Macaca mulatta: one gene and its partner. The protein of the gene in region 1 binds, or shares a complex with, the protein of each later gene. Links are inferred from orthologs where the notes say so. Each region holds a gene or a part of one and is shown in the gene's direction. Other genes may lie near its edges.

Region 1 (7,407 bases):
TACTGCTCTAGAAGAAAGCTGTTGAATGTTATAGCTGGCGGCTCGTGTAAATATTACATCATTTGTGCTTTGTTTTTTCAATAAATGAATCCTGGAAATAAAAGACCTTTGTGTGAAAGTTGGTACTTTGGGTGGTAGAACCTTGATAGGTCCTGTGACTTAGATTTGGTACATACTTAAGAATCAAGGTCCCTGAACCTCTGTGCCACACATGTCTACAACTTTACACAGGCAGATATCTCCAGGAATCAGTACATCTCAGCTCTTATACTGCGTGCATATTATACTTTTTGTGGCATTATCCCTTCAAAATTATAGTCAGTGGACATTCAGTTTATAATGGTAATTAATGGGTTGGGAAGTTGAAGCACAGAGTGTCTTATCCTGTAACCTTTGTAATACCCCCCTCAGATCCTATGTGGATAGTAATAGATTCGTTTTATTCAGCTTCAGTTCATGTGGTATCTGAAGATCATTTCAGTCATTCGATAGATTTAACATTCCAAGCTTAGAATAGCCACGTGCTGTGTTTTATGAGAATCACCATACATCATTTCAAGCCAAGTGTTCCAGAGGCAAGTAAGTGATTATGAACTTCGTAAAGATAATTCCTTTGGCCATTCAAGTCTGAAGATTGAAGTTATATATAACTTACTACTGTGTAGCCCTATATCCAGCTGCAGATTTTCATTATTAATACAGATTCCCAGCACAGTTACAGACTCTTGCTTTCTTGCCCATATGCTGACCAAATAATTGAATCAATGGAAATCGAAAATTGAATTGTATTAGACTAGCCAAAAGTGTTTAGCAGCAGCATCAGGTTCCATACTTAACACTATTATTTTAATTTTTTAAACCTTATGTTAAACCACAAAAGGACTTAGGTGAGTGTGTTAAGGCTTTAAACAAAGTGGTAAGAGATACAGCAAGGGTCTTAATAGACAGGTGTTTGAGGTTAGTTTTTAGCACAGCTTCATTCAACTTGAATTGTTTAGCAATCAAAAGGACAGATGCTTGGTAATGATTTTAGAATGGTAGATTTAAAAAACATAGAGATTATTCAAATGATATGGTTTTTAAATAAATCAGTATCAGTAATTCAGTTAATAAAAGCTAGTTAAAGCAGGAATTGTAAAACATGTGGTCCTTTTTTCCGCCAATGATTTGATATAGTGCTCAGGACTTTTCTTTGAATATGTATATACTGACTGTCGTTCCCATTATTTAGGATAAACTATACCGTCGTGCTGCATCATATGCAGAACTGAAATTGTTCATTGAAGACTTGAGATTAGAGCTTAGAAACATGTGAAGCAAGTGAGAAATCCTAATGTTTTATGCTCCTTTTTCCCCTCTTTTGAAGCTTTCCTCTTTATACCTGATATAACAGCTTTTTTTTTTCCGATCAAGTCTTCCCAAAGCATTCGACTTGGTTTTGCACCCTTATTTTGTCATTTACATAATAATTACATTATTAGACTAATGAATACTACTGGTACTAACAGGTTTCGGAACAAGCAACTGAGGATCAGTAAACAACTCAAGTTGAAAGAATGGGAGTAGCAGTACATGAGTATTCTAACTACTAGTGTTTAACGCGTTGTTGGCAGCTTTCCAGCTTTTCCACAGAAATGCACAGGGCTGCTGATTGCTTAGCTCCATGGGCACTATTCACACAAAATTTAACATAAATAATGCCTCCTGGAGTTATTGTATATAGTGGCTCTGGGAATGGGAGGTGTTGGTTAATCTAGCTTAGTCTGAGAAATGGAGGGTCTGTGAAGAGCTTCTACTCTGTCAGAAAAATAGGGCCTGGTAGAAAACAGATTATAACCTAAAAAGGTTAAATAAAATTTGTGATAGCAGATTTAGCATGTAATGTTAATTTTTTATGTTGCTGAAATAGGTGGGCAGCCTCACAAAAGGAGAAAGACCTCTGATGCAAATGAAACTGAAGATCATTTGGAATCTTTAATATGCAAAGTAGGAGAAAAGGTATGTCACACAATAGGCCCAGGCTGTGATGGGTTTAAGAATGTGGTTGACTGCTTTGATTAATTTTTGCAGCTGAAAACTTGAACTACATTTTGGTAAAGCTGGTATTACCATGCATCTGTATCCCAAATTGAATCCATGTTGAAGCCCCTGGGATGCAGATAATTGATTATTATTAGTAATTTAGTAATTAATAATTTTCATAGAAGATGAGCCTTAAAAGGGACCTAGGGTATAGCCCCTTAATTTATACATGAACTAAATCAGCCCTGAATACTTGAGGTAATTTGCCCAGAGTAACAGAGTGAATTAGTAACAGAGGTAAAATGGAGCCAATGGTGTCCTCCCATTTCTAATGCTTACTCTGCTATCATAGACTGCTTAGTTTTTAAATTTCACTCATCGACTTTTCATGGATTTCTAAAGAACAATAACTATCTGAATTGATTTATACTAAACCCATTATAGCTCTGTATGCGTGTAAGACTATTTTAATCATGTGGAAATTTTTATTTTAGTACACTAAAATAGCAAAAGGACAGATGATTGGTTATGATTTTAAAATGATTTTAAAATATATATTTACATTTAAATAAATTTTTAACAATAAATTTATATTGCTGAGTACTTGACAGATATTTAATGTGATGTCCTCTACAGAGTGCCTGCTCTTTGGAGAGCAACCTCGAAGGCTTGGCTGGTGTTTTGGAAGCTGATCTTCCTAACTACAAGAGCAAGATCTTAAGGCTTCTTTGTACAGTGTATGTATGCAAAAGATTTATGAATCCAGGTGATAATGTATTATCTACTCTTAAATGCTTTGGGAAATGTTTAAAATATATGTTTATGTTCTATATGTCCTTGGCTTTCCTTCTATGGGGAAGTTTGTACAAATGAGCCAACCTTTGGCCCTTTAATGAACTCTTTTTCTTAGGGATAAAACTAAAATTGAGCATTTTCCTTGTGTGTTATTTCTTAGAACCTTAGAATCATTGTAGTTGACTTTTTATAGAGAGAGTACTGTCTCATTCAGATACATATTTTTAAGCATGTATATTTAAATGTATGATACTTAGATTTTAAAATTAGTAGTACCAAACAAATTTGGGAATTGGTAACACGAGTAATAGCTCTTCTTGGAAGACTGAAGAGGCTTTGGAAGCCACTAGTAATAGGCATACTCTCTGGATAAACAGGAGTCTTTGTAGTTACATGAAATTGTAACATATCCATGAGGTGTTTTTAAATTATGAAGGTGACGTTTATCACTTCTCAGCCTTTTAGTTTAGATCAAGTGAAGGTAACTTTAAGAAACTACTAAGGAAATCTTCTGAAATCCTTTATTAAAATGGGGTAGTATTTATACTTAAACTGTTGGAAACCTTGTTTGTTTAAGGCTGAACTTGTATTGCTTCGCAGTATTCTTTAATTTTTGGTTTTGGTAGGGTTTCAGGGAGTACAGTTACCATCAACACAGGTATTTTTTTGAAGACCTTAATTGTCCCTGATGTTCTGCTAGATACTTTAGGAAAACAAGTCAAAGAGAATCTCTTGCCCACTGAATGATTATGAGTTCTTATTTGCTTTTTGAGCTAATTCTAAAGGCTGCCTAAATTAGGAAAAATTGCTTTTTCTAAAGGTTTATTGTAATCCTTTCCCATACTTTTCAAATAACTTTAACAAAATCAACATACTTGGAGTAAGCAAATCTTAACTATATCAGACTACGTTTTAAAAAAATTCAATAATTAAGCTGGTAGGAACTTAGATGAAACTCGTTTTAATTGTGCCTCTTTTCTAAGCAACTAGAATAGTGTTTCTCAAAGTAGAATTCTACTTCCATGACATTTGGTTAGCTAAGTTTAGAAATTCTGAATGCCGCACCCCCCTTAATGATTCTGTATTAAAGAGGCTTGTTTCACCCAGGATTTCTGAGACATTTTACCATGGAAACCATGTTCTGTGGAAATGCTATTCAGTTCCACTAAACACACTTGAAGAAAAACTGTTGTAGCATTAGTTTTATTTATTTCAGTAAGATAACTTTACAATTAAATCATTTACTTTCTTAACTCTTGGATTAATTAATGAATTAAAATGAAAAATTACGGGACTGTGTTTGTAACATTTCTCAGTGACATGCTTTTTCTGGAGTATTTTTAAAGACATAGCTAAAAGTAATCCTGTTCCAAAGTTAATGGAATGATAAAAAGATTCATATAAAATTCAGCAACTTAACGCTATTGTTTTGGGGTTTTCTCGTTATACTGGGTTCTTAAATCAGTGCACGTCTGTTACCTGAGAAGTTGACAATTTATACAACATTAGTTGGACTGCTGAATGCCAGGAATTACAACTTTGGTGGAGAATTTGTAGAAGCCATGATTCGTCAACTTAAAGAGTCATTGAAAGCAAACAATTATAATGAAGCCGTATATTTGGTAAGTTTGTTTGTTGGTATGTTATGACTTACTGTTGGGATGGAGGGAAAAGGTGAGCTACAACCAAATAATTTAAAATGCTCCCCTGAGGCATTCTCATTCACTTTGATAGCTTCATAGGCCACCTTTATTATGATGACACCCCCAAATCTGTAACTGTGTCTCCATCCTTTCTCCTGAGCTCCAGTCCAGTATTCCAGATGCTAGCTGCATAGCCTTCAGATATCTTACCAGGAAGTGCCTAAATTAATGTAGCATTCATACCTCCTTTTTTCTGCCCTTTCCCCAGCTCATTCAGTGGCCACTGTGTACTGAATAGCCCATCTATAAAGCTGAGCTTTAATTTTTGTCTTCCCTTTGCCTTCTTGTACCATAGGTGTTCCCAATCCCTGTCAATTCTGTCTCCCTAATTTCTCTCAAGTCTGTCCTGTCTTGGTCTCCAGGGCCTCTAGCATAGTTTATGCCTTCCTCCAGATGTTCTTAATAGCCTCTTAACTGATCTTTTTGCATCTAGATTCTGTTTTTCACTTTGTGTTCTACAGTGGCACCAGACTGGTCTTTCTGTAACTAGGCTCTGCACATGTTGGTTACTGGTTAAAAAACCCTTAGTTCCTTCCCATGGCAGTGTGAGTGGTCTTAAAAGCCTGGTGCACAAGATGATTCCTTGGGTTGCAGAAAGTGAATATTGAGAACTCTTATTTATCTTAAGTGGAAATGAAATTAAGCCTTACTAATAATACATAGATTAATGGTGATCCAGTGTATATAATAAATAAATATGTATGTGTTGAAGATATGTGATCAAATTCTTTTTTACTGAGTACACAATCAAAAAAGTTTGGATACCGATCAGGCTATAGGATTAAAGTCCAGACTCTTTAGCCTGACCCTTTATGGTTTCCCCAGTGTGTTTCTCTATTCTTGTCTCCCATACACTCTCCAGCAATATCAAAATAACTTGCAGATCCCAAAACACACCTTGTTTTTGAAGCTGTATGCCTATACTGCCCTCATTGCTCACTACTTGAGACTGTTGCTTATCCTTTATGATCTAGCCTAATTGTTACCTCCTTTGTGATGCTTTCCCCAACTCCCTTTGTCATTGTTCCCAAAAACACTTAATTTGCCTTTTAGTGTGGGAGTCACTCATTTGTATTGAGATTGTGCTTGTTCCACTAGAATGGGTCCCTTAACAGTTGACTTTTAGTAGTGTTTAGCAATAGCACACTGAGCACACCCAATAAATGTGTTCTGTAATTTCCATTTCTGTAATTCAGTAAAAATTACAGTCAAACAGAAAAGAAGCTTATAGGTTGAAGTAGCTAGAATATTTTACAATCTGGATTGTTGATGTAGTATAGCATAGAAACCTATGAACTCACAGATTGCTGTCCTTTATATAGTTTTTGTTACAACTTCTCAATTCTGCCATGGTAGCACAAAGCAACCATACACAATATGTAACTGAACGAGCATGGCTGCTGCAATAAAAGTTTACTTATGGACACAGAAACTAGAATTTCATGTAATTTGTATGTGTCATAAAATACTCTTGGTTTTTTTTTTTTCAAGCATTTAAAAATGTAAAAACCATTCTTAGTTCCCAGCTATGCAAAAAACAGGTAGTAGGCTAGATCCAGCCCTTAGGCTATAGTTTTTCAGCCCAATAGTTTAGGCTGTAGAAGATTGCTTGTTTTGTAGTTATTATGAAGAACATTTAGATTTAATAGCAGAAATTGTTTGCCCCAACAGGTCCGTTTTTTATCTGATCTTGTGAATTGCCATGTGATTGCTGCCCCGTCAATGGTTGCCATGTTTGAAAATTTTGTAAGCGTAACTCAGGAAGAAGATGTGCCTCAGGTAAGAGAACCCCTCACGCTGAATCTTGAGGGGCTCTTGAGGGGTTACTGAATCCTGGTACTTCCATATAGTACCAGAAACCTTTCGCTGATAATCCATTAGCAATAAAGAAAAAACAGCAGACTATCACACTGTAAGTTCTTACTATCTAAAAATTAAGTTGACTGGCACACTGGTGGGTTCTCATAATATATGTTGATTTAAATGATGCTGTCCAGTAAGATTAGAACTAATATATCTGGAAATGATCTGTATAAACCAGATGTCATAAGTCCTATTAAATAGCTTCCATAGGATTTCATTCAAGAATAGATAAAATATGAATGAATATAATTAAAGCATATTTTAAACTTAACTTTTTAAAAATCCTTTAGGTGCGGCGAGATTGGTATGTGTATGCATTTCTGTCATCTTTGCCCTGGGTTGGAAAGGAGTTGTACGAAAAGAAAGATGCAGAGATGGACCGCATCTTTGCCAACACTGAAAGCTATCTTAAGTAAGGGCACAGCTCATAGTACTCTTTGTTGCTTAGGTAAAGGATATCTTATATCAGTGATATCATTTGAGTTTCTCAAAAATAAGCTGTAGAGTTCCTGAAGGTATTTTCTAGGTAATCCTGTTCTCCTGCTGTTTTAACTCACCGAGACCTCAAAGTAATCAGATATGGTTTGCTTACTTTTGCCAGTGCACAGGACAGTTGGTAATATAGCTTCTTTTAAGCTGCTTTTATATGTTTATAAAAGACATAAAACACCCTAGTGCAATAGTTCCTCAAATATTAGCGTGGATAAGAATTACCTGTGGTACTTAAAATGCTCAGACCCCAACCCCCAGACCTAATAAATTATACAATTTGAGAGAGAGGTTTGGACATCTGTATTATTAACACATTTCACAAGTGGAGAACCACTGCCCTAGCACATACAATGTGTTTATTTCATGTAAATTAATCCTAAATCAAGCTCTTAAAACAGTGGTCCTTAACCTTCCATCCAGGCAGTACTTCTTAAGTAATATGACACATTTCAATTAAAATAATCACATGTCTTCCCATTACCCATCTCTCCCAAGCCGATGTAAAAGCTTGGTTTAGATTGTTAGATACAAT
Region 2 (7,997 bases), on another chromosome or scaffold:
TTGTTGCTCTGGATCGAAGTTTTCACATTGGCTGTTACAAGTGTGAGGTCAGGGGCCCCCAGCACGTGCAAGGGGCTGGCAGTGTCTGCGGTGCTGGGTAGAGCACGAGACGGGGAACACAGAGATCTGGGGCTGATGGAAATCTGTTGCTTCTTTCTTTCTTTCTTTTTTTTTTTTTGAGATGGAGTCTCGATCTGTGGCCCAGGCTGGAGTGCAGTGACACGATCTTGGCTCACTGCAACCTCCACCTCCCGGGTTCAGGCAAGTCTCCTGCCTCAGCCTCCTGAGTAGCTGGGATGACAGGTGCTGGCCACCACGCCTGGCTGATTTTTGTATTAGTAGAGACAGGGTTTCACCATATTGGCCAGGCTGGTCTCGAACTCCTGACCTTGTGATCCACCCGCCTCGGCTTCTCAAAGTGCTGGGATTACAGGTGTGAGCCACCGCACCCGGCCAATTGTTGCTTCTTTTTCAACAGGAGTGTGGGCTGCTGCTCTCCTCTGAGGGCGAGTGTCAGGGCTGCTACCCGCTGGATGGGCACATCTTATGCAAGGCCTGCAGCGCCTGGCGCATCCAGGAGCTCTCAGCCACCGTCACCACTGACTGCTGAGTCTTCCTAGAAGTACCTGCTGGGTTCTCAGTTCCAGTTCCCATCCTTCGATTGATCACCCTCCCTGACATCCACCTGTATGACTTCATCACCAAATGCTGTCTCCTCTTTCTCCAATCAAGAAATAATAATCCCTCGAGTTTACAAAACACTTCCAAGTCTGCTGTCTTATCTGATTCTCCCAGTAGCCCATTACAAGCCCAGTTGTTGTTACTACCTGCATTTTTTTTCTTTTTTTTTTGAGACGGAGTCTGGCTCTGTCACCTAGGCTGGAGTGCAGTGATGCCATCTTGGCTCACTGCAACCTCCGCCTCCCGGGTTCAAGTGATTCTCTTGCCTCAGCTTCTCGAATAGCGGGGTTTACAGGCGCCTGCCACCATGCCTGGCTAATTATTTGTTTATTTTTTTGAGATGGAGTCTTGCTCTGTCACCCAGGCTGGAGTACAGTGGTACAATCTCGGCTCACTGGAAGCTCCGCCTCCCAGGTTCACACCATTCTCCTGCCTCAGCCTCCCGGGTAGCTGGGACTATAGGCACCCACCACCATGCCCAGCTAATTTTTTGTATTTTTAGTAGAGACAGGATTTCACTGTGTTAGCTAGGATGGTCTTGACCATCGTGATCCACCCACCTCGGCCTCCCAAAGTGCTGGGATTACAGGTGTGAGCCACCGCGCCCAGCCAATTTTTGTATTTTTGGTAGAGATGGAGTTTCACCACGTTGGTCAGGCTGGTCTCAAACTCCTGACCTCAAGTGATCTGCCCGCTTCGGCCTCCCAAAGTGTCGGGATTACAGGCGTGAGCCACCGCGCCCAGCCACTGTCTGCATTTTTACATGTGAGGATGCCAGAGGAGAGTGACTCCCCCAGATTGCATGGTTCTTAAATGGTGGAACCTGGGTCTTTTTGGCTCAGGTCCAGTTTTTTTGGACAACTCTTGTAATCTGTCACTACCCACCTCTCAGTGCTGGGAGCAAGCATGCCTTAGGGAGGAGGCAAGATTTCCTATATGTATCTATTTTGAGACAGGGTCTCACTCTGTTCCCCAGGCTAGAGTGCAGTGGTGAAATTCAAGGCAGCCCTGAACTCCTCGGCTCAAACAGTCCTCCTAGCTTAGCCTCCCCAGTAGCTAGGACCACAGGGGCATCCTACCAAGCCCAGTTGTTATTTTTTTGTGCGTAGATGGGATCTTGCTATGTTGCCCAGGCTAGTCCTGAACTCTTGGGCTCAAGTCCTCCCTCCTCAACCTTCCCAAGTGCTGGGATCACAGGTGTGAGCCACTGTGCCTGGCCCTAAATATTCTGTAAAGGGGTCTTGCTATGTTGCCCACACAGGTCTTCAACTCCTGGGCTCAAGTGATCCTCCCACCTCGGCCTCCCAAAGCGCTGGGACTGCAGGCGTGAGTCACCTCAGCTGGCCTTCCTATTAGGTCTCACACTCAATTCTGAGAGGGGCCTTGGTGTTACTCCCGGGCGTGGCAGTCCACTGAATGTGGGCGGTCCATACTGTTTCGGGCCTTAACTTACAGCCTATATCATCCAAGTACTGAGTGGGGTTAAAACTGAGATCTACCAATTTTCCTTAAAGATGGGGCGTTTTTGTCGAGGAAGATCAGGAATGGCGGACTTTGCATTTAGTGCGCACTGTGGCACCCACTTTTGGCTGGATATTTGGAGCAGAAAATGGTGGGAGACGATGCTTTAAAATGGTTGCTTCCATCTTCCATCCCCTAAACGCGCTTCCCAAGTCCACGTCCTGCCCGAGGAGAGGACGAAACCCCCCCGGTGAGGTCAGGAGGCCCGTAGGGGGAACACGGCTGGATGAGGACTGGCTCAGACCCCCCTACACATCCGGGGTCGCGCGATCCTCGACTTCGGCCCTCGGAAGCTCTCCCTTCGCGCCCAGAGAGCGCCTTCGCCCCCCGAGGCCGCGCTTGGCCCAGCCGAGTTCCCGTAGTTCCTAAAACTCTAGCCATTCTCGTCTCGAAAAACCGCGCGAGACTTGCGAGAACCCCGCCCCTTTCCCGTCACGCCCTGCTCTCCCCGCCCATCGCGCTCGGTTCGTTAGTTCCAGTTCGGGCCGCGAGGGGGGAGCTTTGTGCCTCGGAGGCGTGGGTGACGCAGGCGCAACGCGGGCCGCGCTCGCTACCGCCCATCCTTGGTTGTCCCACTTTTGTTCCCCTCTCTTTGGCCCTGTAACCAAGAGCTCCGTCTTCGTCTCGCCCTCCTCGTCGTCCTCGTCGCGCGCCCGCGGCCCAGGTCGCCCTGAAATCCAGCCCGTCCGAGCGCGAGTCCAACGGCCGCGGCCGCTCCCAGGTGGGGGAGGGGAGGAGCCTGGGGGGCCCCGCTGGGGCGCGAGAGGAACCGGGGGCCACGGGGGCGTGCTGGGAGACCCTCGGGGCGAGTGGAAGCATTGGAGCCGCGTCCTGAGGCCCAGGATGGTGGGGGCCGCGGAGGGCTGGCCTTGACGGGAGGGAAGCGGGCGAGGTGCCCGCGAGGGACGATCTCTTCCTCCGCTTGTCCTTTTGCACCACCCTGACCGCCCCTCCCCGGTCCCCAGGCCCCCTCAGACCGCGCCATGGGTGACAGTGATGACGAGTACGATCGAAGGCGCAGAGACAAGTTCAGAAGAGAGCGCAGCGACTACGACCGTTCCCGCGAGAGAGATGAAAGACGTCGAGGGGACGATTGGAATGACAGGTGAGCCGTTTTTAACTTCTTCTTGTCCCCATTTAATGCCGTTTCACGCCACCCGCGTCGCTTTTCTTTTTCCCCCTTGTAATTTTTATGAGGGCGAACCCTATGAAATGGCTCATTGGATCGTTTGCTGTTGTTCAGCCTATTTGTTGTTGGCCAAGTAACTAGCTGTGTGGCTTGGTTTTTTAAATTCTCAGCAGATCAGAGCAATAGAGCTAAGAGTTTGAGAATGAAGAAGCACTGTTTATACATGCACGAAAAACGTGCTTTTTTGCTTTCTTTTTGTTTTGTTATGGAGATGGGGTCTTGTTCTGCCCTGGCTGGAGTGCATTGTGGTGCAGTCATAGCAGCTTCCACCTCCTGAGCTCAACCGATCCTCCTGCCTCAGCCTCCTGAGCAGTTGGGAGTACAGGGGGAGGCCATCACTCCTGGCTAACTTTTAAAAATTGTTATTATTATTTCGAGACAGGGTCTCGCTCTGTCGGCTAGCCTGGAGTGCCGTGGCGCAGTCTTGGTTCACTGCAGCCTCCGCCTCTGGGGTTCAAGTAATTCTCCTGCCTCAGCCTCCCGAGTAGCTGGGATTGCAGGCACCCGCCACCACACCTGGCTAATTTTTGTATTTTTAGTAGAGACGGGGTTTCACCATGTTGGCCAGGCTGGTTTGGAACTCCTGACTTCAGGTGATTCACCCAGCTTAGCCTCCCAAAGTGCTGGGATTACAGGCATGAGCCACAGTACCTGGTCTAAAATTATTTTTTGTAGAGACAGAGTCTTGCTCTGTTGCCCAGGTTGTAAATTATATTTTAGGAAGATTGCTTCAGAAAAATAATAATATAGAGTTGATCTGACTGGAGAGGTTGTCAGACTATTTCCCTGACAATATATGATTAGGTTTTTTGTCACTGTTTTGCCTAAAATCTCAGAGTTTATTGGGTGGTGCTGATTGGATTGATTGATTATAAGATGTGGTTATTGACCTGAGGATGTTACAGTGTGGGCTTGGCCTGGGGGTTCAGAATGGCCATGGATGTATTCTGTAAATGAGAATACATAGCGGAAGTTATAAAGAGGATAAGCATTAAGGGAACAGATCTCTAAAGGAGGGGAGCGGTGCTGGAGGGGGTGTGTCAGGGACCCACTGGAAAGTGACACTTAGCTAGACTTAGAAAGATAAGTGGGAATTCCCCAGACACGAGTGACACGAACAGCTTGGAGTTGTGGACATAATGTGTGCTTTTAGCATATTCTAGTTTGGTTAGAGTCCTGTTTCTCAGGATGTCCGCAGACCATAGGGAGTCTCCGAGGCTAAAATTATTTTTTGTGCTAATGTTTACATATTATTGCCATTTCCACTGATGGTGCCATAGCAGTGGTGGGTAAAACTGCTGATGCTTTAGCAAACATCAAGGCAGTGACAGCAAAGAGTTTAAAAAAAAAAAAGAAAAAGCCAGCTGGGCGCGGTGGCTTATACCTGTAATCCCAGTACTTTGGGAGGCCAAGATGGGCAGATCATGAGGTCAAGAGATCGAGACTATCCTGGCCAACATTGTGAAACCCCATCTCTACTAAAAATAGAAAAAGTTAGCCAGGTGCCGTGGTATGCGCATGTAGTCCCAGCTACTCGGAAGGCTGAGACAGGAGAATCACTTGAACCTGGGAGGCAGAGGTTGCAGTGAGCCGAGATCGTACCACTGCACTCCCGCCTGGCGACAGAGCAAGACTACGTCTCAAAAAAAAAAAAAATGCCAGTTCTATCAATGGTTCTTGATGAAAGAGTAAAACATTTAATTTGATTAAATTGGACTCTTGACTGTACGTCTTTGTTTTTGACATAAAATCTCTCTCTGTTGCCCAGGCTGGAGTGCAGTGGTGCAATGTCAGCTCACTGCAGCCTCCACCTCCCCGGTTCAGGCGCTTCTCCTGCCTCAGCCTCTCGAGTAGCTGGGACTCCTGACCTCAAGTGCTTCGGCCTCTCAAAGTGCTAGGATTACAGGCCTGCATTAGTTTTCTTGAGCAAGAGTATGCATGTGATTGAGTGAGCTGAACTAACAGCTTTTTTCCATGGGACATTATTTTTACTTGAATGAATGACAAATAGTGATTGTTCATACTTGGGTATTTGGCAGACATCTTGAAAATGAACTGAGAACCTGTTACTTCAGTGTAAGCTGTCAGTATTTGTTGCCAGTGATGAAGTAGCACTTTCCAGTGAAAATTAAAATTTTGGGCCGACGCAGTGGCTCATGCCTGTAATACCAACACTTTGGGAGGAGAAGGTGGGTGGATTGCTTGAGCCCAGGAATTTGAGAACAACCTGGGCAATGTGGTGAAATCTGTCGGTACAAAAAAATACAAAAATTAGCTGGGGGTGGTGGCACATGCCTGTAGTCCCAGCTACTCAGGAGGCTGAGGCGGGAGGATGGCTTGAGCCTGGGAGGTCGAGGTGAGAGTGAGCCTTGATTGCACCACTGCACTCCAGCTTGGGCAACAGAGAAATACCTTGTCTAAAAAAAAAAAGGAAATTAAAATTTTGGAAAACTTCTATCTACTAATGTGAGCTTGACAGCTTCCCATTAAGTAAAGACTTTTTTGGTGAGATAGGCAGTGATGCTGATGCATACATTTTGATATTGTGTGAGACATATCAAAGTCCATTCAAAGGGCAAGATAGAAGAGTGCATTTTAATGTAGCAGAGAAAGAAATATTCACTGATACTATTTCAGATTGAAGGTTCTAACTAGCCTGTGAGAAACTACTTCCGTCTTGGACAAGGTAGCATAAAGAAAAGATAAAAAAGAACCTATTTCTTGTTGAATTTTGCGTAGTATCCAAAATGAATGTCTACAGTTAATCTGAAAAGGCTTTTTCAACTCCTTATTAGTGTGAGGCCTGATTATCTGTTTTTTTTTTTTTTTTAAAACGGGGTGTTACTCTGTTGCCCAGGTTGGAGTGCAGTGGCACAATCATGGCCGTGGGTCACTGCAGCCTTGACTTCCCCAGGCTCAGGTGATCCTCCCATCTCAGCCTCCTGATTAGTTGGGACTACAAGTGTATGCCACCACACCCAGCTAATTTTTTTTTTCTTTCTTTTTTTTTTTTTTGAGATGGAGTCTCACTCTGTTGCCCAGGCTGGAGTATAGTGGCATGATCTGGGCTCACTGCAACCTCTGCCTCCTGGGTTCAAGCGATTCTCCCGCCTCAGCCTCCCAAGTAGTTGGGATTACAGGTGTCTGCCACCACCCCTGGCTAATTTTTGTGTATTTAGCAGAGACAGTGTTTTGCCATGTTGGCCAGACTGGTCTCAAACTTCTGACCTCAAGTGATCTGCCCGCCTTGGCCTCCCAGAGTGCTGGGATTACAGGCGTGAGCCACCACTTCTAGCCAGCCAGCTAATTTCTGTATTTTTAGTAGAAAGGTGGTTTGACCATGTTGCCCCAGCCTGGTCTTGAACTCCTGGGCTCAGGCAATCCACCTGCTTTGGCCTTCCAGAGTGCTAGCATTCATTACAGATGTGAGCCATCATGCCCGGCCTGCCTCATTTTTCAAATAGAACAGAATATCTCAACAGATTTCAGTGTAGAAGCTATCCTCTACAAAGCCAGAACTTGGAGAGATTGGTGACAATGTAAAAACAACGCCACTTTTTCTCACCAGAATTTTTCTGGAAAATAATCACTTTTCATAAAAACATGTGATCTATTTCATCTTACTGTGTAATTTAAAAATGAAGGTTTTGGAATGTTTTGTTTTAATTTTGAATATAGTAAGTATTGATAGATGTAACCCACATAAGCAGAAACTCTTTGATGTCCTCAGTCATTTTTAAGAGTATGAAGGGGCTGAGGCAGGAGAATTGCTTGAGCCCAGGAGGCGGAGGCTGTAGTGAGCCGAGAGTGAGATTGCGCTACTGCACTCCAGCCTGAGCAACAGAGTGAGACTGTCTCCAAAAAAAAAAAAAAAAGAAGAAGAAGATGAGGATGGGGGAGGCTGGGTGACTGGTTGGGAGGTTGGTGACTGGTGGGGAGGCTGGTCGAGAGGCTGGAGTGACAGCCAGGAGCCCAAGTTAAAACAACAGTGTTGCTTACTGGCATTGAAGTAAGGGTGTGATGTGATGAGACTTGTGTTTGAGGAAGGTCCGCCTGCCAGTGGGGAGACAGAAGCGAGAGACCAGAAGCAGGTGGGCAGCCAGGGCTGCAGGAGCCACACTGGACAAGGACAAGGACTAGGACAGGTTGTGTGGGGATGGCAGAGTGTGGGACAGCTTTGATAGGCTTTGAGGCAGAGGATTAGCAGGAGCAGTAATTAGCGGTGAGGGTAGTGAATGACAGCTGGGGAGAGATGCTGTTCCGTTACAGCAGAGTGGGGAGTCAGGGGAGGAAAAGACATTTGGGCCCATAATGGTGGGATGAATAGGATTGATTCTGTTTTTTTTTTGTTTTTTGGAACGGAGTCTTGCCCTGTTGCTCAGGCTGGAGTGCAGTGGTGCGATCTCGGCTCACTGCAAGCTCCGCCTCCCAGGTTCACGCCATTCTCCTGCCTCAGCCTCTTGAGTAGATGGGACTAAGGGTGCCTGCCACCACAACCGGCTAATTTTTTTTGTATTTTTAGTAGAGACGGGGTTTCACCGTGTTAGCCAGGATGGTCTCAATCTCCTGACCTCGTGATCCACCTGTCTCAGCCTCCCAAAGTGCT

Evidence for each region. Proteins that work in one complex are often made in the same cells at the same time.
Region 2: the proteins of NCBP1 (region 1) and SRRT are in contact, whole or in part, in a cryo-EM structure (PDB 8PMP), measured with the Homo sapiens proteins. The link is inferred for Macaca mulatta from reciprocal best matches to the Homo sapiens genes NCBP1 and SRRT. Residues at the interface, in NP_002477.1 of Homo sapiens: Tyr461, Gln463, Lys511, Lys557, Ser558, Ser560, His561, Ser564, Ala567, Lys568, His570, Lys607, Ile609, Arg610, Thr611, Gln612, Met648, His651, Glu705; in NP_056992.4 of Homo sapiens: Asp857, Pro858, Arg859, Val862, Glu863, Tyr864, Arg865, Asp866, Leu867, Asp868, Ala869, Asp872, Asp874, Phe875, Phe876.

Annotation. Positions count from the first base shown.
Region 1 is NC_133420.1:60,756,348-60,763,754, reverse strand, and holds part of NCBP1 (nuclear cap-binding protein subunit 1), read left to right. Parts: intron 1-1,231; exon of another isoform or gene 1,232-1,320; intron 1,321-1,909; coding exon 1,910-1,998; intron 1,999-2,658; coding exon 2,659-2,759; intron 2,760-4,282; coding exon 4,283-4,439; intron 4,440-6,191; coding exon 6,192-6,299; intron 6,300-6,673; coding exon 6,674-6,795; intron 6,796-7,407. UniProt on the Homo sapiens protein: Component of the cap-binding complex (CBC), which binds cotranscriptionally to the 5'-cap of pre-mRNAs and is involved in various processes such as pre-mRNA splicing, translation regulation, nonsense-mediated mRNA decay, RNA-mediated gene silencing (RNAi) by microRNAs (miRNAs) and mRNA export.
Region 2 is NC_133408.1:48,083,217-48,091,213, forward strand, and holds the start of SRRT (serrate RNA effector molecule homolog), read left to right. Parts: upstream 1-2,745; 5' UTR 2,746-2,923; intron 2,924-3,167; 5' UTR 3,168-3,185; coding exon 3,186-3,307; intron 3,308-7,997. Other genes in the region: TRIP6 (thyroid receptor-interacting protein 6), read left to right, coding at 1-47, 479-610. UniProt on the Homo sapiens protein: Acts as a mediator between the cap-binding complex (CBC) and the primary microRNAs (miRNAs) processing machinery during cell proliferation.